Linked DNA regions of Macaca mulatta. The protein of the gene in region 6 interacts with the protein of the main gene of each other region in a biochemical or structural test. Links are inferred from orthologs where the notes say so. Each region holds a gene or a part of one and is shown on either strand. Other genes may lie near its edges.

The links.
Region 1: of the proteins of MAPK3 (region 6) and GAB2, one has a biochemical effect on the other in vitro, tested with the Homo sapiens proteins (2 studies listed by BioGRID). The link is inferred for Macaca mulatta from reciprocal best matches to the Homo sapiens genes MAPK3 and GAB2.
Region 2: of the proteins of MAPK3 (region 6) and DUSP1, one has a biochemical effect on the other in vitro, tested with the Homo sapiens proteins (2 studies listed by BioGRID and IntAct). The link is inferred for Macaca mulatta from reciprocal best matches to the Homo sapiens genes MAPK3 and DUSP1.
Region 3: of the proteins of MAPK3 (region 6) and DUSP3, one has a biochemical effect on the other in vitro, tested with the Homo sapiens proteins (2 studies listed by BioGRID and IntAct). The link is inferred for Macaca mulatta from reciprocal best matches to the Homo sapiens genes MAPK3 and DUSP3.
Region 4: of the proteins of MAPK3 (region 6) and ELK1, one has a biochemical effect on the other in vitro, tested with the Homo sapiens proteins (6 studies listed by BioGRID and IntAct, with this or other methods). The link is inferred for Macaca mulatta from reciprocal best matches to the Homo sapiens genes MAPK3 and ELK1.
Region 5: of the proteins of MAPK3 (region 6) and SREBF2, one has a biochemical effect on the other in vitro, tested with the Homo sapiens proteins (2 studies listed by BioGRID). The link is inferred for Macaca mulatta from reciprocal best matches to the Homo sapiens genes MAPK3 and SREBF2.

What each region holds. Positions count from the first base shown.
Region 1 is NC_133419.1:78,647,259-78,650,758, reverse strand, and holds part of GAB2 (GRB2-associated-binding protein 2), read left to right. Parts: intron 1-267; coding exon 268-370; intron 371-1,581; coding exon 1,582-1,707; intron 1,708-2,600; coding exon 2,601-2,744; 3' UTR 2,745-3,500. UniProt on the Homo sapiens protein: Adapter protein which acts downstream of several membrane receptors including cytokine, antigen, hormone, cell matrix and growth factor receptors to regulate multiple signaling pathways.
Region 2 is NC_133411.1:181,644,710-181,648,789, reverse strand, and holds the start of DUSP1 (dual specificity protein phosphatase 1), read left to right. Parts: upstream 1-1,280; 5' UTR 1,281-1,513; coding exon 1,514-1,880; intron 1,881-2,158; coding exon 2,159-2,304; intron 2,305-2,628; coding exon 2,629-2,848; intron 2,849-3,290; coding exon 3,291-3,661; 3' UTR 3,662-4,080. UniProt on the Homo sapiens protein: Dual specificity phosphatase that dephosphorylates MAP kinase MAPK1/ERK2 on both 'Thr-183' and 'Tyr-185', regulating its activity during the meiotic cell cycle.
Region 3 is NC_133421.1:68,123,872-68,127,371, reverse strand, and holds part of DUSP3 (dual specificity protein phosphatase 3), read left to right. Parts: intron 1-1,003; coding exon 1,004-1,230; intron 1,231-3,500. UniProt on the Homo sapiens protein: Shows activity both for tyrosine-protein phosphate and serine-protein phosphate, but displays a strong preference toward phosphotyrosines. Specifically dephosphorylates and inactivates ERK1 and ERK2.
Region 4 is NC_133426.1:47,658,531-47,661,999, reverse strand, and holds the end of ELK1 (ETS domain-containing protein Elk-1), read left to right. Parts: intron 1-295; coding exon 296-727; intron 728-1,361; coding exon 1,362-1,463; intron 1,464-1,548; coding exon 1,549-1,647; 3' UTR 1,648-2,969; downstream 2,970-3,469. UniProt on the Homo sapiens protein: Transcription factor that binds to purine-rich DNA sequences. Forms a ternary complex with SRF and the ETS and SRF motifs of the serum response element (SRE) on the promoter region of immediate early genes such as FOS and IER2.
Region 5 is NC_133415.1:9,594,597-9,598,096, forward strand, and holds the end of SREBF2 (sterol regulatory element-binding protein 2), read right to left. Parts: intron 3,016-3,500; exon of another isoform or gene 2,929-3,015; coding exon 2,772-2,928; intron 2,326-2,771; coding exon 2,105-2,325; 3' UTR 473-2,104; downstream 1-472.
Region 6 is NC_133425.1:28,437,172-28,441,105, reverse strand, and holds the start of MAPK3 (mitogen-activated protein kinase 3), read right to left. Parts: upstream 2,801-3,934; 5' UTR 2,732-2,800; coding exon 2,562-2,731; intron 1,538-2,561; coding exon 1,355-1,537; intron 1-1,354.

The DNA.
Region 1 (3,500 bases), on a different chromosome or scaffold from region 6:
ATGGTAGCTGGCCTGTGGGCCAGGACAGCTGGATTCTGATGCTAACGCTATCATTAGCTGATCATGTCTCTTGATCTCTTGTGGCTTGGTTTCCTCAGCTATAAAAGAGAATAATTATACTTGCCCTATATCAGATCTTAATCTGATGGAGTGTGCAGCTCTAATGGCTGAGGTCTGGGTGTGTGAGGGTCAGGGCTCAGCTGTAGGCTAGAAACAGGGCAGCAGCCACGCTGCTTCCCCAGTGTTGATTCTTCCTTCCCACAACAGCCACACCTTCAACTCCAGCTCCTCCCAGTACTGCCGCCCCATCTCCACCCAGAGCATCACCAGCACAGACTCAGGAGACAGCGAAGAGAACTACGTCCCTATGGTGAGTCCTTCGGGCTTCGCTGGAATGACTCCTATCAAAGTCCCCTGGGACCCACCGCTCAGTTCCCCACTTCCCAGCTTAGCTAATTCACCTCTGCCCAGGGACTCCTTGTATTATTCATGATTTAGTCTCCTGCTACAAACCCTTCTTGAGCACCTATTTATCAAGCAGTAGGAGTTGTCATCAGATGTAAGGAAGACATGAGACCTGTCCCAACGAAGTCATGGTCTTCAAGGGCAGGGGCCTGCCTCTCTCATGACAGTGACACAGGTGGCAGGATCTGTGTGCCCTTGGATAGTCAGTGCTGGAGGTATCTCCTCAGCGGTGAGAGGCATACATGCACATAACTCACTTTGGTGAGGCCGTAATAGAGCTATCAGCACAGGCAGAGGAGGATATTTCTTCCCTGAGATTTCCATTAAGGGCATAACTGCCCAGCACCTGGTAGTCACTGTGCATAGACAGTGAAAGAATGAATTACCAACCAATAAAGCAGCCAACAAACAGAACACAGGACTATCACCTTCTCATTAGAATAAGACTTCAGGAAAGTCCTAGAGGAGGTGGTGCTTTGCTACAGCAGGAGTCTGGATGGACAGGATCCCAGAGTGTGTCATCTGAAGAAATGCGGGCTTTGTGCAGCCTGGAGATAAAGCCTGTTCAGATCTTGGAGGAGCTAGGTGGGGGAGCAAGCTGCTTTGGGGTGACTACCCCACTCCAGGCCACAGGTGGGAGTTTCAGAGGGGCTGATTTGGTGCAACAGAAGAAAACTTTCCAATGCATAAAGGAAATGTGCTCCCTTCTTAAGCGCCAGCAAGCAAAGGCTGGGTGTCTCAGGAGAGCCCCTGTTGATGAGACTTGGCCTGATGTGCTATAAAGGAGACAGTGTGGCACAGGGGTTAGCACAGGTTTGGAAGTCAGAAAATAGACCTGATTCCCATCACTCAGCAGCTGTGCAACTACAGGCAAAGTCACTTCTCTGAAAGTAAAGTGAACCACAGTTTCATATTTGTTTTAAACAATATCAACAGTAATCATACCTACATTACAGGATTGTCATGAGGACTAAAATGAGAACATGAAAAGTCCTTAGCATGATGCATGAGTCAGAGTAGGGCTCAGGGAACCAGTGTTCTTACTCCCAGAGGTATTTTTCTGGGTGGTGGGTTAGTCTGTTCTCTACACTCACGGATTTTTCCTCCTCGTGACAGCAAAACCCAGTGTCTGCATCTCCCGTTCCCAGTGGCACCAACAGTCCTGCCCCTAAGAAGAGCACCGGCAGCGTCGATTATCTGGCCCTGGACTTCCAGCCGAGCTCCCCAAGCCCCCACCGCAAGGTGCCTGGAGTAGAGGTTGGGGGGACAGTAAGAGCTCTCAGGGCCCCAGAGGCAGAGATCATGGAGGTCAGGGTGCCTTCAACACTGAACAGCAGCACTCAGCCTCCCTCCTGCTCCAGTACCTAGCTTTTATGATGCATCTTTAGTCAGAGCTTTCACCTAGGTCTAAAGACTCCTATTCCTGCTCTCAGAGCACAGTACCCTCAAAGAACCTCATCAGTCAGCCCACCCCCCGTGTTGTAGAGATGGGCAAATGAGTGCATAGAGATCTGATTGTGCTAAACAAAGTGAATCAGCAACAGATCCAGGAATGAGGATACTGCCTCCTGGTCCTGGGCTCTTAGGTGTGTCCCAGAGCCCTGCCGTCAATACATCAGCCTTCACAAGGGACTTCCAGGCCTGGGAAAGCCTCCCCAGGAGGTACCCTTAGCTAAGCAGTCTAGACAGCAGGGTGCAGAGCTGTGCCTCAGCATGGTTCCCCTTCACAGGGTGGCGGTGAGCACAGCACGTAAAGTCCTGTGGCTGGTGCTTGTTTACACCCAGCAAAGTCCTTCCCCTGGATGAGCAACCTGACAGAGATGGGTGGAGGCAGAGATGAAGGCCTGGACCCATCCACCAGGGCCAAGGAAGGGCCTGGGTCGTCCCAGGAGCCGGGAAGTAAGAAGGGCTGGCAGGGGCTGCCGCATCCTGCAGGAGGGATAATGAGTTTGGAGTCTGAGCTTTAAAGCCCACATTCAGAAAGAGAAGCCAGGCTCCTGAGGCTGGTCAGTGGCAGGCAGAGGCCATGCTCTTCTCCCCTTCAGACAGCTCAGGAAGATCCCACGCCCATCTTCTTCCTCCCCACCTAACTGGTAACTCACAGCTACTCCCTCTTTCCCACTCTGTCCCCTCAGCCATCTACTTCATCTGTCACTTCTGATGAGAAGGTGGACTATGTTCAGGTGGACAAGGAGAAGACCCAGGCCCTGCAGAACACCATGCAGGAGTGGACAGACGTGCGGCAGTCCTCGGAGCCTTCCAAGGGTGCCAAGCTGTGACGAGAGGGCCACCGCAGAGCCCAGGGAGGGGCCAGGAGGCAGCGTCTCCAGAGCTGGCCCTTCACATCTCCCCTACCCCTCTCCCCTCTCCCATTATTCCTTCCATTCACCTCCTCTCTACTCTGCCAGTCTCAGCCTTCAAAGCACTTGACATCAGGGACCCTGAACCCTTCCCCTGGGAGGTGAGGGCCTGATCAAGGCACCTTCTCTGCCCACTCGGGGCCCAGCTGTGATTTTTATCAGTAATGGCCATGCCTCCACCCACCTTAGTTAGGAGCTATTGCCAAAAAGCATCCTTCAGCCTTTTCCTGTCCTTTAGACCTGACTATCTACCAGATGTTTGGAGGGAAGGGCTGGGGCTCTGAGCCAGATTCCACACCTCACGTTCAGTCACAGCCCTCAGCTATCTTCCCTCCGGCCACTGGGCTACCTCTCCTTCAGTCCCAGAAGACAAGTCTCACCGACCCAGGGAGTCAAGGACCAGCAGACCAAAGTGGATAATGGACTTTTTCATTCCTGTTTTTCTTGGCAGGAGAGAAGCAAGGCCACTAAAAGAGGAGATGGTGGAGAAGGAGGCCCAGCAGTGGTCTTGAGGGGTAAAGGACTTAGATGCCCAGATGCAGAGGGAAAGCTGACATCTGCAGGGACCCCCACTTTCAGGCTAAGGCCATGGCAGGACAGCTGCTGTGGGGTGCACAGGCGGAGGATGAAGGACAAAAGGAAGGGAAAACTGATGATGGCCAACCTAGAGAAGCA
Region 2 (4,080 bases), on a different chromosome or scaffold from region 6:
TCCAGGGGGCCGTCACTGGGACTCAGGGCATGGATATCGCTGGGCGTTGGGGGCGGGGGGTCTTCCCAAGCGTTGCGATCCATGTCCTGGCAGTCCGCCCACAACGGCCCGGGATTGGATTTTGCCTTCAGCCTATAACGGAAGCGACGACAGGGAGCGAGGGTTGGGGCCGGCTTCTGTTCCGGGTTGGAGCCCCCCAGCCCAGCGCTTAGTGGGCGCTCACTCAGTATACTGCCTATTTGTGTAATAAAGGGATGGAGAAGCTCGGTCTGGAGCCAAGGTGACAGAAACGTGTCGGGCGGCCCCTGGGGGGAGCCGTCGAGTCGCGCTGCGGGTCGCCCCTCACCCCTCCAAACGCCAAACCCGGGAATCCACCGCGGGGCCTTGCGACCCCCGACCGGGATTTCAGCCCCTTGACCTGCCTTCCTTGGCTCCAAGTCTTCCAGGGGCCACAGACTAGGAATAGCATTATTTCCCGGTGGGGGTTTGCTCGCTTACACTTTCATGGCAAATGTAGATATTTTAAAGCCACCTTAAAGAAAGTCGGGGAAACAGGAAAGCATTGCCCTGAACCTCTCCGCCCCAACTCGCTCGAGTCGTTTTTGGTAGGAACGACTTTTCTATCGGCAGAGCTGTTCATTTTTCTCCAAACTTCATCTTAGGCGCCTCTGTGCTGCCCCACGCGCCGCCCCACCCCACACCCCAGTAGTGTGGTTCTGGGCAAGTCAGTAGCTTCGCTTGGGGAACCTCAGTTTCCCCGCCTGTTAGTGATGAGGAAATGAGAGAAAGGGGCACAAGAGTATGCAAAAGCGCAGGAAGCCCCTTTCGGCTCAGGTCGAAGGCCGAGGGGCACGGGGAAGGGGACTCGGGGAGGGAGAGACGGAGGAGCGGCGAGGCCAAGGCAGGTGGCACGTCGCCCATTCTCCCGGCCGCTCGCATCCCAGAGGTCAGCCTCAGCTGGCAGCGAGCCCTCCGCCTCCCCGCTGGGCCCGGAGCGCGGCGCGGGCCCAGTCCCTGGGGACGCGCCAAGAGCAGGCCGGACGGCAGGGCGGGGGCCGGGCCGCGAGCCAGCGCGCAGCAAGCGGACCCAGCTCCGAGGCTGATGACGTCTTCCCCTGTAGCTCGGCGGCGCCGGGCCGGGCAGGGCGGGTGACGTCACCGCCCCGTCACGTGATCACCATTCAAACAAACACCCTCCTCCCCCTGCGCGCGGGTCAGGCCCGCCCCGTCGCCCAGAGGCCTCATATAAACGAGCTCCCCGGATAGGGCTCGCTGCGAAGGACGTTCGGGCTGTGTGTGCGACGTGGTTCGAAGGGGCAGTCGGGGCAACCGCGAAGAAGCCGAGGAGCCCAGAGCCCCGCGTGACGCTCCTCTCTCAGTCCAAAAGCAGCTTTTGGTTCGGCGCAGAGCGACCCGGGGGTCTAGCTTTTCCTCGAAAGGCGCCGCCCTGCCCTTGGCCCCGAGGACAAAGAGCACCGCAGGGCTGATCACGCTGGGGGCGCTGAGGCCGGCCATGGTCATGGAAGTGGGCACCCTGGACGCTGGAGGCCTGCGGGCGCTGCTGAGGGAGCGCGCGGCGCAATGCCTGCTGCTGGACTGCCGCTCCTTCTTCGCCTTCAACGCCGGCCACATCGCCGGCTCTGTCAACGTGCGCTTCAGCACCATCGTGCGGCGCCGGGCCAAGGGCGCCATGGGCCTGGAGCACATCGTGCCCAACGCCGAGCTGCGCGGCCGCCTGCTGGCCGGCGCCTACCACGCCGTGGTGTTGCTGGACGAGCGCAGCGCCGCCCTGGACGGCGCCAGGCGCGACGGCACCCTGACTCTGGCGGCCGGTGCGCTCTGCCGCGAGGCGCGCGCCGCGCAAGTCTTCTTCCTCAAAGGTACGCCCTCGGGGAAGCTCGGGGCGGGCCGCACACCCCTGAGATTTTGCCCGGTACCCTCGGCTCTTGGCTCCCGGGGGGTCGCCCCACCTGCAGCGCGTGGGCGCTGGAGTACATTTATCTCTGGAACTTGTCATTGGCTTTGTTTGGCTCTGGGAACAAAGACTTGCCTGGGCCTTTCCGCTGTAAACTTCCAGCCCTTGGTGGGTGGGGGAGTCGTATGAAGGTGCCCTGTCCCGGCGTCACTGAGGAAAAAAAAAATGTCTTTGTATTCCCAGGAGGATACGAAGCGTTTTCGGCTTCCTGCCCGGAGCTGTGCAGCAAACAGTCGACCCCCATGGGGCTCAGCCTTCCCCTGAGTACTAGCGTCCCTGACAGCGCGGAATCTGGGTGCAGTTCCTGCAGTACCCCACTCTACGATCAGGTTAGTAGGTGTCCCTGCCACAGGGGAGAAGTAAGAACTGGCAAAGGCACGGAGGAGTGGTGCCAGGGAGAATATAGAAAGTGACCTGCAGCATTATTTATAACGGAGGGGACACAGGGATATGATTGTAGGCTCTACAGAAATGAATTTGCTGGTCCTGCCCAGGCAAATGGGCTTAGTTCCCTATTTATTTATCCTCCAGCAACAGAACTGAGTTCACTCGCTATCTGAAATTGACTTTTCCAGCAGAAAGTTTTTGTGGGTGTGGGCACTGGCCTTGGCTTTGAGCGAGCTTGATGAATGTTGGATATTTCTGGATTTCAGGGTGGCCCGGTGGAAATCCTGCCCTTTCTGTACCTGGGCAGTGCCTATCACGCTTCCCGCAAGGACATGCTGGATGCCTTGGGCATCACTGCCTTGATCAACGTCTCAGCCAATTGTCCCAACCATTTTGAGGGTCACTACCAATACAAGAGCATCCCTGTGGAGGACAACCACAAGGCAGACATCAGCTCCTGGTTCAACGAGGCCATTGACTTCATAGGTAAATGGAATGGATGCCTGGGGCTTTTCTGCCTCTCTCTTCTCATTTTAGCCCCTAAGCCCAACCTCTGTGGCAAGAGCTTGAAGTCTTATGAGCCTTCTTCCAGACATTCAGTATCAGTCTGGTGTGGGCAACATTCCTGCAAAATGTGAATTTGATTCAATGTCCCACTTTACAGATTTGCAAACTGGGGCTCACAAAGTTGAATTGACTGGTGTGAGATCTATCTGCTGAGTGGAAATCCCCAGTCTGAGTTTAAATCCTGTGCCATCCTTTGCGCAGTGCCCAAGTTGCTTCCATGAACAGTAGCCATGTGATGGCGTGTGGTGATGTTGACCATTTCTAGACAAGACACACATGACCTTTCTCAGATACACTGTACCTGGGCTTGGGGTGGTTCTCCTGAGCTCTCCAGTAACCAGCCGCTCCTTTTGTTTTCTAGACTCCATCAAGAATGCTGGAGGAAGGGTGTTTGTCCACTGCCAGGCGGGCATTTCCCGGTCAGCTACTATCTGCCTTGCTTACCTCATGAGGACTAACCGAGTCAAGCTAGACGAGGCCTTTGAGTTTGTGAAGCAGAGGCGAAGCATCATCTCCCCCAACTTCAGCTTCATGGGCCAGCTGCTGCAGTTTGAGTCCCAGGTGCTGGCCCCACACTGCTCGGCAGAGGCTGGGAGCCCCGCCATGGCTGTGCTCGACCGAGGCACCTCCACCACCACTGTGTTCAACTTCCCCGTCTCCATCCCTGTCCACTCCACGAACAGTGCGCTGAGCTACCTTCAGAGTCCCATCACGACCTCTCCCAGCTGCTGAAAGGCTGTGGGAGGTGAGGCTCTTCACATCCCACTGGGACTCCAGGCTCCTTGAGAGGAGAAATGCAGTAACTCTGGGAGGGGCTCGAGAGGGCTGGTCTTTATTTATTTAACTTCACCCGAGTTCCACTGGGTTCCTAAGCAGTCGTTGTGATGACTTAGCGTCAAGACATCTGCTGAACTCAGCACATTCGGGACCAATATGTAGTGGGTACATCAAGTCCCTCTGACAAAATGGGGCAGAAGAGAAAGGACTCAGTGTGTGAGCCAGTTTCTTTTTGCTCGCTCCTGTTTTTTGTAGAATCTCTTCATGCTTGACATACCTACCAGTATTATCATTCCCGACGACACATATACATATGAGAATATACCTTATTTATTTTTGTGGAGGTGTCTGCCTCCACAAATGTCATTGTCTAC
Region 3 (3,500 bases), on a different chromosome or scaffold from region 6:
AACGGGGTTTCACCATGTTGGCCAGGCTGGTCCCGAACTCCCGACCTCAGGTGATCCACATGCCTCGGCCTCCCAGAGTGCTGGGATTACAAGTGTGAGCCACTGCACCCAGCCTTAGATCAATTATTTTGTAACCTCCCATAGTTCTGTTGGGGCCACTTACTCCCCAAGTACTAAATCACCCAAAAGAGCTTTGGAAATGTAGCTAGTGGAAGGTGGTAGGTAGGATCCCTCTAGGGGGCAGGGAGGGGGCTGCCTGGCGCGTGACAAATTTATTTTTCTACACTCATTCACCACTTATTTATTCAGCACCTACTATGTGGCAGGTACTATAGCAGGTGGTGGGGAAACAGACTTAAAGCAGACATGGTTCCTCTCTCAAGGAGCTCAAAGCCTGGATGTCTAAACACAGAAGCACAATCAAGCATTAGAATTGTAGTGCTCACTACCATGTCCGGCTCTGTCAACGGAATAGCCCATTTAATGCTCATAAGAACCTCAGGGAGAAGGCACTGTTATCCCCATTTTACAGAGAGGGAAACTGAGGCACAGAAAGGTTAAATGGCTTCTTAAGGTTGCCTGGCTAGTACCTGGGCTGGGTGCAGACCCAGTTAGTCTGGTTCCAGAGCCCATTTGTAACCAGTTGGCTATGTACACCCCCACCACAGCTTAGGGAGCATGGGGCCAAATGGAATGGAGGGGAGACAAACACTGCAGAGGGTGTGAAAGATGAGAGGGCGCATTTCTCCAGAAAAGGTGGGAAAGAGCATTCCAGAGGGAACAGCATGGCTATGAAACCACCAGTCTATTTGGGGAAGCTGCTGGCAATTCGATATGGCCAGAGTCAGGGAGGAGGTCATAAGTTGAGGCAGGAGAAGCCGGCAGGGGCCAGAGCATGGAGGGGTTCCTTGCTTTGCCAAGAGGTTTAAATCCTCCTTCATCTTCCTCCCCCTGGGGCTGCCATTTGGTTGGTTAATCATCCCCACCATTGTCTCCCGTCCAGGTCTGTGGCTCAGGATATCCCCAAGCTGCAGAAACTAGGCATCACCCATGTTCTGAACGCGGCTGAGGGCAGGTCCTTCATGCACGTCAACACCAATGCCAACTTCTACAAGGACTCCGGCATCACCTACCTGGGCATCAAGGCCAATGACACACAGGAGTTCAACCTCAGCGCTTACTTTGAAAGGGCTGCTGACTTCATCGACCAGGCTTTGGCTCAAAAGAATGGTAAGCGACCTCCCGCCAGGAAAAGATGGGAGGCAGCTTTGACTAGACTATCCCTCTGGAAAACAGGCCCACAACAGGTGTCTTCTTGGAAACCTCCTTGTTTCCCATCTTCTGGGGTGAATGACAGAGCTGTAGGTCTCTCTCTGCTCACCTGGCTGCCTGTCAAGTGGCCCCATGTGTCACAGGATGTGCAACTCATTCACACCGTGGCAGCCCCAGGGTCCTTGCATTTGATTGCACTTTGGCTGGAGGTTGGTTTCCAGTTGCTTACACATCCCCCATTCGAACAGCTGTAACGATGAGGAAGACGTGTTCATGTGTTCATGTGCATGGCAGGAAGTCCTGAGGTGAAAGAGCATAGGGGCTGGTTGATTCAGCAGTTCCGTGGTAGCATCTGGACCAGGCCCTTTCCCTTTCTCTCTTCTGCCACCTCAGTGTTGGGTGCTCCCGTCCTGGTCCCAAGATGGGATCCGGTCACCACATCCAAGCAGGACAAAGTACAGCAGATGAGACACTGCAGCTATCTCTTCCCACCTTTTCTCTCTCTCTCTCTCTCTCTTTTTTCTGAGACGGAGTCACACTCTTGTTGCCCAGGCTGGAGTGCAATGGCGCGATCTCGGCTCACCGCAACCTCCACCTCCTGGGTTCAAGTGATTCTCCTGCCTCAGCCTCTTGAGTAGCTGGGATTACAGGCATGTGCCACCACGCCTGGCTAATTTTGTATTTGTAGTAGAGATTGGGTTTCACCATGTTGATCAGGCTGGTCTCGAACTCCTGACCTCAGATGATCCGCCCACCTCGGCCTCGGCCTCCCAAAGTGCTGGGATTACAGGCATGAGCCACCGCACCCAGCCACTCTCTCTTTTTTAAAGAGACAGGGTCTTGCTACATTTTCTAGACTGGTCTCCAACTCCTGGCCTCAAGCAATCCTCTCACCTCAGCCTCCTGAATAGCTGGGACTACAAGCCCATGCCACCATGCCTGGTCTCTCTCTTTTTTTAAGAACAAGTAAAACATTTCCCAGAAATTCCCCTCACATCTCATTGGCTAGAGATTCATGTGACTGCCTGGCAAGGGGAAAAGGGGTAGCTGTGGTCGGCTTAGGTTGGCAGTCAGCAAACCACAGCCCCCCCAGCCAAATCTTCCAGCCACTTAAAAAACACTTTCTGCAGCCCCCAAAGGTAAGGTAAGACTGAAGGAGAACTACCAAGGTGCTGGCAGTCACCAAGGCGTTACAGCAAGAAACCCTAGAAGGCCACAAAGCAGACATCAGCTGAGCAGGCTGGGCCACTCGCCCTTTCTCCCTTTCTGCTTTTAGCTATTTCTCTCAGCTCCTCCCTTAGCCTCTTCCTCCCTCCCCACCCCAAACCCTCCCAGCGGAGGGGACCCCCATGAGGTGTGATCAGCCTTGGCTCTACTACTCTGATGATTCTTGGGCCCAGCAACCTCACCGTCTGAATTATTTCCAGTAAACACAATTTTCTAGACCACTGGACAGTGCACGCTCAGGGCTCAGAGAGAAGCTTTACTGTGGGAGTATCTGCAGACTTTGCTGACAGGCCCCTCATGGTCCTTGCCGGTCACTGTCACCCCCCACCCTGCCCACGCCCTCCACTCCAGCTGTACTGAGCTCCTCACCCTGTGTAGACATAGGCTGAGTGAAGGGGAAGGATTTTGTTGTTCTCATGTAATATCAATTGGTCATTCATTCAGGGAATTTCAAGCTCTCTGACTTTGTTTCCACTTCCCAAAACCTAGGAACATTCTCTTTTTTTGACCTCCTGTCTCAGTCCAGGTGTGCTGGGTCTTCAGTCTGAAAAGTTCTCTATGCCTCTCCCTACCCGGTCCTCTGGCAAACTCCACCTCGTCCTTGGCATGGTGTCCTCTCTTCCATGAAGCCTGCCCACAGGCTGGGTCCACTTTGTTCCTTGTCCGTCTCCTTAGCACATAGTAGGTACACCACAAATGATTAATGAGCAAGTGATGAAGAATTCCATGGGCTCTAATGCCAAGTATAAATGCTTCCAAGAATGAGTGGCTAAGTGAGTCAACAGAAACATGCTGGCCTCCGACAGGGAGTGGGGTCCAGGGACCCATCACTGAGAGCTAGGTGGGATGGCTGAGGATGCTCAAGAGGGAGCAGTCACTTCCAGCTGGGAAAACCAAGGGAGGCTTCATGGAGGAGGTGGCATCTGGGCTGGGCTTAGAGGAATGGGAGGTTGAACTGGCCCCTTTTCCAGTAGGCTCTGTGTGCACTGGGCATGCAAAGT
Region 4 (3,469 bases), on a different chromosome or scaffold from region 6:
GTTGCTGGTTCAGAGGAAGGTAAATTTTTGAGAACCACTGTTTTAATGAATGAGGATGATATCCCTCAGATTCCCACCTGCTTCAGGTTGTCTTACCCCAAGTCCCCTGTCCCATAGGAGGACTTGCCCCAGAGGAAGCCCTACTTCCTTGATGAAGTCCTATGTCCTGTTGGAGAACCTGCTCTGATGTCCCCAGTACCAAGTGCCACTTTCCCGGGGAAATCACTGGGTAGCCCACAGGAGAATCCTGTGGCCCCAACAATCCTTACCCTCTTTGTACCTGCTCCTCTCCCAGGTCATCCTGACTCCGCCCGAGGCCCCAAACCTGAAATCGGAAGAGCTGAATGTGGAGCCAGGTTTGGGCCGGGCTTTGCCCCCAGAAGTGAAAGTGGAAGGGCCCAAGGAAGAGTTGGAAGTTGCCAGGGAGAGAGGGTTTGTGCCGGAAACTACCAAGGCCGAGCCAGAAGTCCCTCCACAGGAGGGCGTGCCAGCCCGGCTGCCCGCGGTTGTTATGGACACCGCAGGGCAGGCGGGCGGCCACGTGGCTTCCAGCCCTGAGATCTCCCAGCCACAAAAGGGCCGGAAGCCCCGGGACCTAGAGCTTCCACTCAGCCCAAGCCTGCTAGGTGGGCCAGGACCCGAACGGACCCCAGGATCGGGAACTGGCTCCGGCCTCCAGGCGCCTGGGCCGGCGCTAACTCCATCCCTACTTCCTACACATACATTGGTGAGTGCCTGGGGAGGTGTGGGATGGGTGGGTGCCAACCCCAATGGGACTGGCATGTGGCAGGTGACTAACGGGAATCAGAGGAGGGCGAATGTGGTTGTCCCTGAAGAGGGTGGAGCCTTCGAGTGTGATTGACTGGGCTGACGCTGGACTGGAGGGATGGGGTTTGATTAGTGAAGGGCAGGGCTGCGGACTTTTGTGGGTGGGACCAAGGGGCTTTCTGTGGGACTGTTTCTGGGTTGGGGTGTGGCTTAAGGAACCTGAGCAGGGCTTTTTGGTCTGGGATTTGCATATGGGATTTCACGGGTGGGACATGAGTTAGAAGTTGACCCTGAGCTGTTTGGATGGTGACTTGAGAGGTTTGAGAGCAGCATTTGGATAGGGTCTTGTGGGTCGTCTTGACCAATGAGGTCTCTAACTGAGGGTGGGCTCTCGGGAATAGGGAGTGGGGGGTGTATACGGAGTTTGAGAGATTGTAGGCATGGCCTCCATAGTTACCATCTAGGTGTGTGCACTTTGGGGAGTGACCCTGGGAGTGTGAGTGGGAATCTGTGGTGGGGCTAGGCCCAAGTCCCTTCCAGCATCCCACATCTACTCTCTACTCACTTGAGCTCCGACCACCCTCTCCCCACAGACCCCGGTGCTGCTGACACCCAGCTCGCTGCCTCCCAGCATTCACTTCTGGAGCACCCTGAGTCCCATTGCGCCCCGTAGCCCGGCCAAGCTCTCCTTCCAGGTAGGATCCTCTTTCCCCATTTTGGACAGGGTGACAGACCCAAGAATGGCCCCCATCTGTGACCTCTCCCTCTTTTTACCCCCAGTTTCCATCCAGTGGCAGCGCCCAGGTGCACATCCCTTCCATCAGCGTGGATGGCCTCTCGACCCCCGTGGTGCTCTCCCCAGGGCCCCAGAAGCCATGACTACTACCACCACCACCGCCACCACCACCACCCCTCCTTCTGGGGTCACTCCATCCATGCTCTCTCCAGCCAGCCATCTCAAGGAGAAACATAGTTCAACTGAAAGACTCATGCTCTGATTGTGGTGGGGTGGGGATCCTTGGGAAGAATTACTCCCAAGAGTGATTCTCATTATCTCCTCCACAGAAAACACACAGCTTCCACAACGTCTCTGTTTTCCGTCAGTCCCCCAGTGGCCGCCCTTACACGTCTCCTACATCAATGGTAGGGGCGGTTTATTTATTTATTTTTTGAAGGCCACTGGGAGGAGCCTGACCTAACCTTTTAGGGTGGTTAGGACATCTCCCCCACCTCCCCACTTTTTTCCCCAACACAAGACAATCGGGGTCTGGCTTGAGAACGACCTTTCTTTCTTTATTTCTCAGCCTGCCCTTGGGGAGATGAGGGAGCCCTGTCTCCATTTTCAGATGTGAGTAGAAGAGTTAGTTTGTTTTGTTTTATTATTCCTGGCCATACTCAGGGGTCCAGGAAGAATTTGTACCATTTAATGGGTTGGGAGTCTTGGCCAAGGAAGAATCACACCCTTGGAATAGAAATTTCCACCTCCCCAGCCTTTCTCTCAGACAGCTTATCCTTTTTCAACCAACTTTGGCCAGGGAGGAATGTCTCTTTTCTTCTTCTTCCCCCTGAAAAGCCATTCCTTTGTCTGCCAACCTCCCTGGGGTCCTGCCTGTTTCCTCCCAATGGAGGGTTTTTTTGCGGGGTGGTCCCCGTCTGGGGGGCCCCTCCAGCCAGTTCTCCAGGTCTCCCTGTCTCTCCCCCGCTGCCATTTTGATAGTATAATCTATTTTTAAATGGGGCTTTTCAATAGGGGAGAGGGAGTCATCTCTTCCTATATTTGGTGGGGTGGGTGGGAAGGAAGGGATTTGGGGGGGAATCTTCCTGCCGCCTCCCCCCTCCAAGTGTTTATTTTTGATACCAAACGTGTATTTTCAGTTCCCTCCCTCCCAGCCCCCCAATTTCCTGCGGGCGGGTACAAAGGACCCTTTCAATGTCCCTGGAGTTGGGAGGGAGGAATGGGGGACATAAAGCCTGTCCTGTCTCTATTCTAGGCAAGAGAGAGCGGGTTCAAAAGACTCCCGGGCTCACCTGTTAGCGCTGGCCCAGCCCAGGCCTCGGGACCTGGGGGTTGGTGATTTGGGGGACGGTGCTACACTCGTCTCCACTGTTTGTTTTACTTCCCCGAAATGGACCTTTTTTTTTTCTAAAGAGTCCCAGAGACTGGGGAATTGTTCCTGTAAATATATATTTTTCAAAGTGATGCTGGAGGCTGCTGGCACTTTTTCTCTGATGTTGTAAGGACTAGCTGAGTGTGACAAGCATGACTGTGTGGAAGGCGTGAGGCAGAGGTTGATGGTGAGAGAAGTGGTGTGATGGCGTGTGTGAGAAACAGTAGTAGGGACTGCATATTGGTAACCGTGTGTGTCAGAGATGTGGAAAGCTGTGATTGTGTGTGAGAGAGTACAGAAGTTGTGACCACAGACTTTTGATGGTGTGTCTCTGTGGGAAATCGCGGCCGTGTTTCAGAAAATAACTGAGCCTGGACGAGTAGTCAAGGTACTGTACAAGAACCTGTGATGGTATGCACAAAATAATATCTACGAGAAGAGAGTGGGGACTGCAGCCCCATCAGTGTTTGATGGTGAGCAAGACAGACCGAGTGACCCAAACCGCATGTGAGAGACTACGTGGGCATGAAACTACAGTAGAGGTTGTCAGGGATTGTGGCAAAGATTGTATAGGTGACAAACCTCATTATAGG
Region 5 (3,500 bases), on a different chromosome or scaffold from region 6:
CCAATTCTGCACAAGTGGAAGTGGAGACTGAGGCCAGGTCCTGCCCAAGGTGACCCAGCTGGGAAGCACGGGACCTGGACTTGGATCTGACTTGTGGGCCAGTGAGCCTCCTGGCTCAGAGGGTCACTGCCTTTAGGGAGGGAGAAACTAAAGAGCAGCTTACCCAGTGGGGGAGATGGTCAGCACCCCAAATCTGTCAGCCAGCCAGCATTACATCCAGGGAACAAGCTGGAACCTGGATACAGTGACTTGTGACCCCTGAAGTGCCACCCACAGCCCTTTTATCCCAGGCTGGAGGGTGTGCCAGGCACCGCACAGAAGGTGGGCAAGGGAGGCCCATTAGACTGAGGCCAGGGGCCCTCTCAGCAGTTGGGGGGCTGCCCTCAGTCCCTGGCCCACTGCCTGCCAAGTCACGCAGCCCCTTGGCTGGACACCACAGCAGTCGCACTACAGACCCTCACACACCTTGTGCTGGGTGGTACCAATCTGTGTTTATTGAATAACCTATGTCTGGGACACGGTGACTGACTGAACATCAAAGAAGCCATAGGTGTATCCCCCTTTTCAGTGAAAAACCACCCTCTCCCACCCCCAAACAACAGTGAGAAAAGGCACAGGACATACACACAACACGCAGGTGGGCAGGGTCCATAAATTACAGTGAGAGTAGGGGAGGGGCAGGAGAAAAAGCAAGCAGGTGGGGTCCAAGCACACCCCAGGGACAACATTCCAGCCTGCATCGAGGTGGCCCTGTTGTGAGCACCCCCCAGTCTGTGCTGGGGCACCTGCCCATCCTCTGCTACAACCAGCCTGAGGACGAGGCACAGGGAGGCAGGACCCTTGTCACTCAGGAGGCCCTGGGAGAAACAGTCTCTGGGAGGTGCTGCACCAGGGGGTCCAGAAAAGTAGGACTTTTTCTCCTAGGACACACATCAAGGCAGGGGACCTCATTCCTAGTGCCCACCATAGGCAACCCTCTGCCCACTCTGAAAAGAAGGGCTTGCCGCTGGGGAGGGATTAGGGGTTGGTCCTTGCCGCCCTGGTTTATTTTTGGGTCAAGAATTAGTGATAAAAATATACAGATATGCAACTTACCATGGGGTTACTTCCTGATAAACCCATCATAAACGAAAATATCATAAGTAAAAAATTCATTTAATACCCCAAAAGACCAACTGTAAAGTTGAAACATGGTTGAAGTTGAACCATTGTTAAGTTGGGGACAGTCTGTACTGTGGAAGTGGGAGCTGGGGTAGGGGAGGAGGGAACCTAGAAGCCATGCTGAAGGCACCTGGTCCCCAGTCCCAATGGGTGGCTTCATTTCTCCCAGCTCCCTGGGCCCAACCTGAGCTTGGGCTGACATCCTAGGAGGCGGGGAGTGGGAAGGAACAGGACAATTAAATAAGATACCATTTATTTTTTTAAAAAATTAAAAAATGCTGACATTATTTCATCCATCTGCAGGCCTACCCCCTGCCTCCCACCAGCCTCCCAGGGCTGGGCCCCCTCCTCCCCTGGATGTCCTGTGTAATAAAAGGAAAAACAATGAGCAGGCTCAGCCAGCCACAGGGGAGGGAACGTAGACCCAGGGAGAGAATCAAGACGCTACAGCAACTCAGCCTCGCATCATGGCAAACCCAAGCACACTGGTAGAAAACATTGGTATAAAAAGGGGGGAGGGCATGCCGGGCACGGGCCTGAGGGCAACTGCTCCCTGGTGCTCAGAGACTGCTGTCCCCCAGAGGAAGCCTGATAAAAACTGAGGAAGCAAAAAGGAGAGAGTAGGGTTCAGGAGAGAGAAACTCAGGAAGGCTGGAGGCAGGGGCTTGGCAGCTTGGGAGCTCCCCCTGCTGCTATCAAGTCAGAGCTGCCCAGTTTCTGCCCTGCTACCTTTCCTCTTATGCCCACCAGGCCCTGGACCATGGGCATCTAGTGACAGCAGCTTTAAGGGGCTCTGCCCAGGGGCCTGCTGGCCTGAGGTGGCCCAGAAGCCTCGGCAGGTGACAGCTAAGATGACAAGGCTCCTCCCCACCTCTCTCAGTGGGAGGATGCTGGGGGAGAGAGGAACCGAGAGAGAAGTGGAGGGGTGGGCTGAGCCTGGTGGTCAGGAGGCGGCAATAGCAGTGCCACCACCCAGCTTGACAATCATCTGCTGGCAGTCGTTGCAGGAGCGCCGGTCACCCACCTTCTCCAGGGTGCGGGCAGCCTCGGCCAGTAGCACTGCCCGCTGGCCCGGGGAGGAGAGGAAGGAGAGGGGCAGGTGGCGGCAGGCCAGCAGGATGGCGGTGGCCCGCTCTCGCTGGCCAGGCCAGGCATCCACCTCTCCTGTGGGAAGGAGATGTGTGTCAGAACCGAGAGTCTGCCATGAAGCCGGTGCTGTTCCTTGGCGTTATCTAGACTCATTCACTGAACACTGACACCCATCCTGGGAGGTGGGGTCTGCTGCCCCACCCAATCCATGGAAAAGAAGTGGATTTGTCCAGCCTCTCACAGCCAGCCCATGGTGGGACTGAGATGGACCCACATGACCTGGCTCGATGCGTGCGCCTGTGTGGGGACGCCACCCCAACCCTCCTTCCCTGAGCAGAGCATGACCCATGACCACCCCAACCCCTGCAGCCCACCAAGGGCGGCCCCAGGCTTCTTTCATTCTCAGGCGAGGTGTGCTGGGCACCGCTGCCAGGTGTGGGAGTTGGGCTGGCCCCTTCCCTCCTCTCTTCCCAGGGGTTAGGGCCCAGCCCAGCCTGTGAGCTGGGGAGTGGTGGACTCACCGTGCTTGGCGCTCTGTGTGGTGCGCCGCCGCAGGCTGTGTTCCAGCAGCTGGTGGGTGCGGGTGGGGCTGGCTCCTGCCATCAGGCGCACAGTTGCTTCGTGCAGGAACACCTGGGGAGGCGCCGGGGTGACATCCCTCATACCCCTGGTCCCCACCTGTCTATGCCCAGGGTAGTTCTCCCTGAGCCATCTCGCCTGCCACCTGATAACATCCCTTCCCACACCAACTTGCCTTGCTCACCCCTGAAAAGTGAACTTTGTTGTCCCCTACTCTGACCGTGAGCCAGGCTGGAAACCTGGCTGAACAGCAGGAGCAGGACGAGAGGCGAGAGGCGAAAGAGGCAAAAGGCCTGCTTTTCCCAACTGGTGACAAGAAAGCCCTGGATGTACCTTGTGGGGCTGGCAGACAAGTGTCCTGGGTGAAGCCCCAAGGCCCTGGAGGCTGCTTCAAGTTTGACAAAAGGACAGGTGTGACAGGGACAGAGGGGTGAGGAGGGACAGTTGGGCTGGTACCAGAGAGGTTTGGTATCCTCTTTCTGTATCTTTAGAAAGGAACAGAGTCTAGAGGTGTGCAGGTAAAGTCTGCAGCGCTTAGGTATGAGCCACTGGTGGGTGAAGGGCAAGGCCGAGGTCTGCCATTTCTTAAAATCTCAAGCTCTTTTTGATGCCTTTATATCTCAGTCTTCAGGGAGGGTCTTCAGTGCTGCCAAGTGGATTCTGGTCCTGGT
Region 6 (3,934 bases):
GAAGTGGACAGCAAACTAGGAAAGCAGTATCAGGGGAGGACAACAAAGGCTAGGCTGTCCCTCCCTGGGCAAGGTGCAAGTCCACAGGTGATTAGGGTGTGGCTCTGAGTGAGAAGTCCTAAGAAGGACAAGTTTCCATCTGGGGGAGGGGAGGAGGAGACAGCAACAGAAACACTTGATTTTAGGTTTTCTGGGCCTCAGCTTCTTCATTTTTTTTTTTTTTTTTTTGAGACAGGGTCGCGTTCTGTCCCCCAGGCTGGAGTGCAGTAGCACAATCATAGCTCATTGCAGCCTTGAACTCCTGTGCTCAAGCCATCCTCCTGCCTCAGCATCCCAAGTAGCTGGGACTACAGTCATGCACCACCAAAGCTGGATAATTTTTAAATTTTTTGTAGAGATGGGGTCTCACTATGCTGCCCAGGCTGGTCTTGAACTCCCAGCCTCCACTGATCCTCTGGTCTTGGCCTCTAAAGTGTTGGAACTACAGACGTAAGCCATTGCACTCTGCCCTCATCTTTGAAATGAAGCTGCAAAGCCTATCTCATAGGGTAGTTGGGAGGTGTAATAGAAAAAAAAAAAAAAAGCATTGGGCATGTATAGTACCTGACACGCAGTAGGACCTCAAGAAAGGCAGTTTTTTTGTTTTTGTTTTGTTTTGAGACAGAGTCTCACGCTGTTACCCAGGCTGGAGGGCAGTGGCACGATCTTGGCTCACTGCAACCTCCGCCTCCTGGGTTCAAGCGATTCTCTTGCCTCTGCCTCCCAAGTAGCTGGGATTACAGGCATGCGCCACCACGCCCTGCTAATTTTTTTGTACTTTTAGTAGAGATAGGGTTTAACCATGTTGGCCAGGCTGGTCTCCAACTCCTGGCCTCAGGTAATCTGCCCACCTCAGCCTCCCAAAGTGCTGGGATTACAGGCATAAGCCACCATGCCCAGCTGACAGTTTGCTTTCTCCCTGTCTCCCTTCCAGTCTGGGGAAGGAGGAAAGAGAGGAAAGAACCATCCATTTGTTAGCAAGAAGTGACTGTGGGCAGAAGCTGGGTCATGTCTCAGAACTGCCGATGTCAGAAGACAACACTCCCATAGAGACCATCCTGTCTAGCCCTCCCCCTTGGGGCACAGAGCAGAGAACTGACTTGCTCAAGGCCATATTGCCCGGCTGCAGCAGGCCTGGGTTCATCAGAGGCCTCTAAGTCCTGTTACACTGTGGCTTCTCCTCTGCAGGAAAGTTTATTTTACTGGGTTTGTTTTGGAGGGTGGTGGGTAAGATGGAAACAGAAAGCAAGCAACGGGTCCCCAGCCCAGCTCCGAGGCTGTGTATGACCAGCCGACTGGGCAAGGTGAAGGATACACATCCCTCATGGCTTCCAGGGTGGACGCACGCAGAATGTCTCGGATGCCGATGACATTCTCATGGCGGAAGCGCAGCAGGATCTGGATCTCCCGGAGCGTGCGCTGGCAGTAGGTCTGATGCTCGAAGGGGCTGATCTTCTTGATGGCCACGCGAGTCTTGCGCACGTGGTCATAGGCCGAGCTGAGGGGACCGGAGAGAGGCTGCTGCTGTGGCCTTACAAAGGGGGAGTCCGGGCCTGGTGGCCCCACCCAGGCCTTGGCAGGGAGGGGAGAGAGCAGGAGCTGGCTCTGGTCAAATCATAAACAATGCTGGTTCCTTCCTGCTGTGTAGGGCTGGGATCTCCAGAGAGAAAGCTGGGGACCAGCCAGGCGGCCCTTCGGTGACTTTACAAACAGAGGAAGAGACTGACCGCTCACTGACTTCCCCTCTCCTCAATCCCCTTCCATTCTACTGGCCCTGAACCCTTCGCCCCCATTCCCAGGAAAGGTTCCTTAACCCAAGACAGGTCCGGGGGTGCAGATGCTGGGGGCACACCATGGAGCAAATACTGGGAAAACGGCAGCCAGGGGAGGGGCAGGAGAGAATGGACAGGGCAGGGGCGGGTCCTAGGGTGAGGGAAGCGGGCAGCAGGGCTGTCCCAGAGCTCACGGTGGGGCCGGGGGCACTCACAGACCCCTCCCAAAACATGCAAGTGGCACTCCTGGCCCCCTCATCTCTCTTTGGGCACCTGGTGGTGGTGGTGGTGGGGCCAAAGCCCTGCCCCACCCTGATCTCGGCTCGTCTACCCCAGGCTCCCTGGCACTGCCTCACAGGGGGAATCCAAAACACCCTTTCCCCCAAAACGGGCCCTCCACTGCCTCTTCACTAAGGATGTCGCCTCCCCGAGAGTACTCATCCTCTGGGCCTCGCCCCGTGTCACTAGGGTCCCCGCGGGCCCCCACATGCACTCAGATGCCCCTCCCATCATTACAGAAGGGTGGACTCAAAGCCTCCAAGCCCCCTCCCCTGAGGACGCAGGCAGCGCCCTCTCCCCTAGAAAGCACTCAGGGGTCCCCTCCCTGGGACGCTCCCGATCATCCCGAGTCCCCTGCCTCCTCGGGACGCTCCGCGTCTCCACGTCCCGGAAAGCGCTCGGCGCCTCCCCCTCCTCTCCTGTGAAGCCCCCTCCCCTGAGGGCGCCCCCTCCCCCGGAACGCCCCCTCACCTGACCATGCCGTACGCGCCCTCGCCGATGTACTGCAGCTGCGTGTAGCGCGGGCCCACGTCGAACGGCTGCCCCTTCACCATCTCCACCTCCCCCGGGACCCCCGGGCCGACCCCCTCGGCTCTCCGGGGCTCCCCACCCCCGCCCCCCTGAGCCGCCGCCGCCGCCATCTCCACTCCTCCCCTCCCGCCGCCCTCCTCCCCCCGGCGGCCCCGCCCGAGGCCCCGCCCCTTCCCGCCCGCCTGTCACCCGCAGGGCCGCGCGCTCCAGGCCCCGCCCCTGCCCCGGCCCCGCGCGCCCCCGGCCCCGCGCGGGCCTGGAGCCGTCACGTGACCCACCCCGGGCGCGCGCCCGCCCTTCTCGCCCTAGGTGCGGGAGCCCGGGGGTCTCTGCTGGCTCCGCGGTCACCAAGTCACGGGGAGGCTCGGCAGCGCCGCCTCGGAGACTGTCCTCACCCTCCTCTCGAAGGCGAAGCGGCCAGGGCGTGACCTACCAGAGCCACCCAGCCAATGTGTGCGGCAGCCCACCAGAACCTGGGCCCGAGATCACCCTAGGTTAAAAAAACTGTTCTAATAAATGAATCAAATTTTACAGATGGGGAATCTGAGAGTTGGGCTAACTAACTTGAGTAAGGTCACTAGTAATGACAGAGCTGAGACTCAAAATGATGTCTTCTGACAGAGGCTCTTTTTAATTCCATGCCTCTCAGAATCCTAGACTGTTTTTATTTTATTTTAGAGACAGGGTCTCACTCTGTCGTCCAGGCTGCAGTGCAGTGGTGCAATATTTACTGACTGCATTCTCAACCTCCTTGGGGTCAAGTGATCCTCCTACCTCAGCCTCCCAAAGAGCTGGGACTATGCGTGCGCTCCACCACGCCCTGCTAATTAAAAAAAAAAATTGGGGGACTGGGCACTATGGCTCACGCCTGTAATCTCAGCACTTCTGGAGGCTGAGGAGGGCGGATCACTTGAGGACAGAGTTGGAGACCAGCCTGACCAACATGGTGAAGCCCTGTCACTACTAAAAATACAAAACTTAGCTGGGCATGGTGGTGGGCGCCTGTAATCCCAGCTCTTCAGGAGGCTGAGGCAGGAGAATTGCTTGGTACCCAGGAGGTGGAGGTTGCAGTGAGCCAAGATTGCACCACTGCACTCCGCCTGGGTGACAGAGCGAGACTCCATCTCAAAAAAAGAAAATATAATTTTTTTTTGGTAGATACTGGGTCTTGCGATGTTGTCCAGGCTGGTCTGAAACTACCGACTTCACAGGATCCTCCCACCTCGGCCTCCCAAAGCTCTGGGATCACACCTGTCCATCTCAGACTGTTACAACTGAAGAAAGGGCCCTCGGAGATCATCCAGTCCATCCCC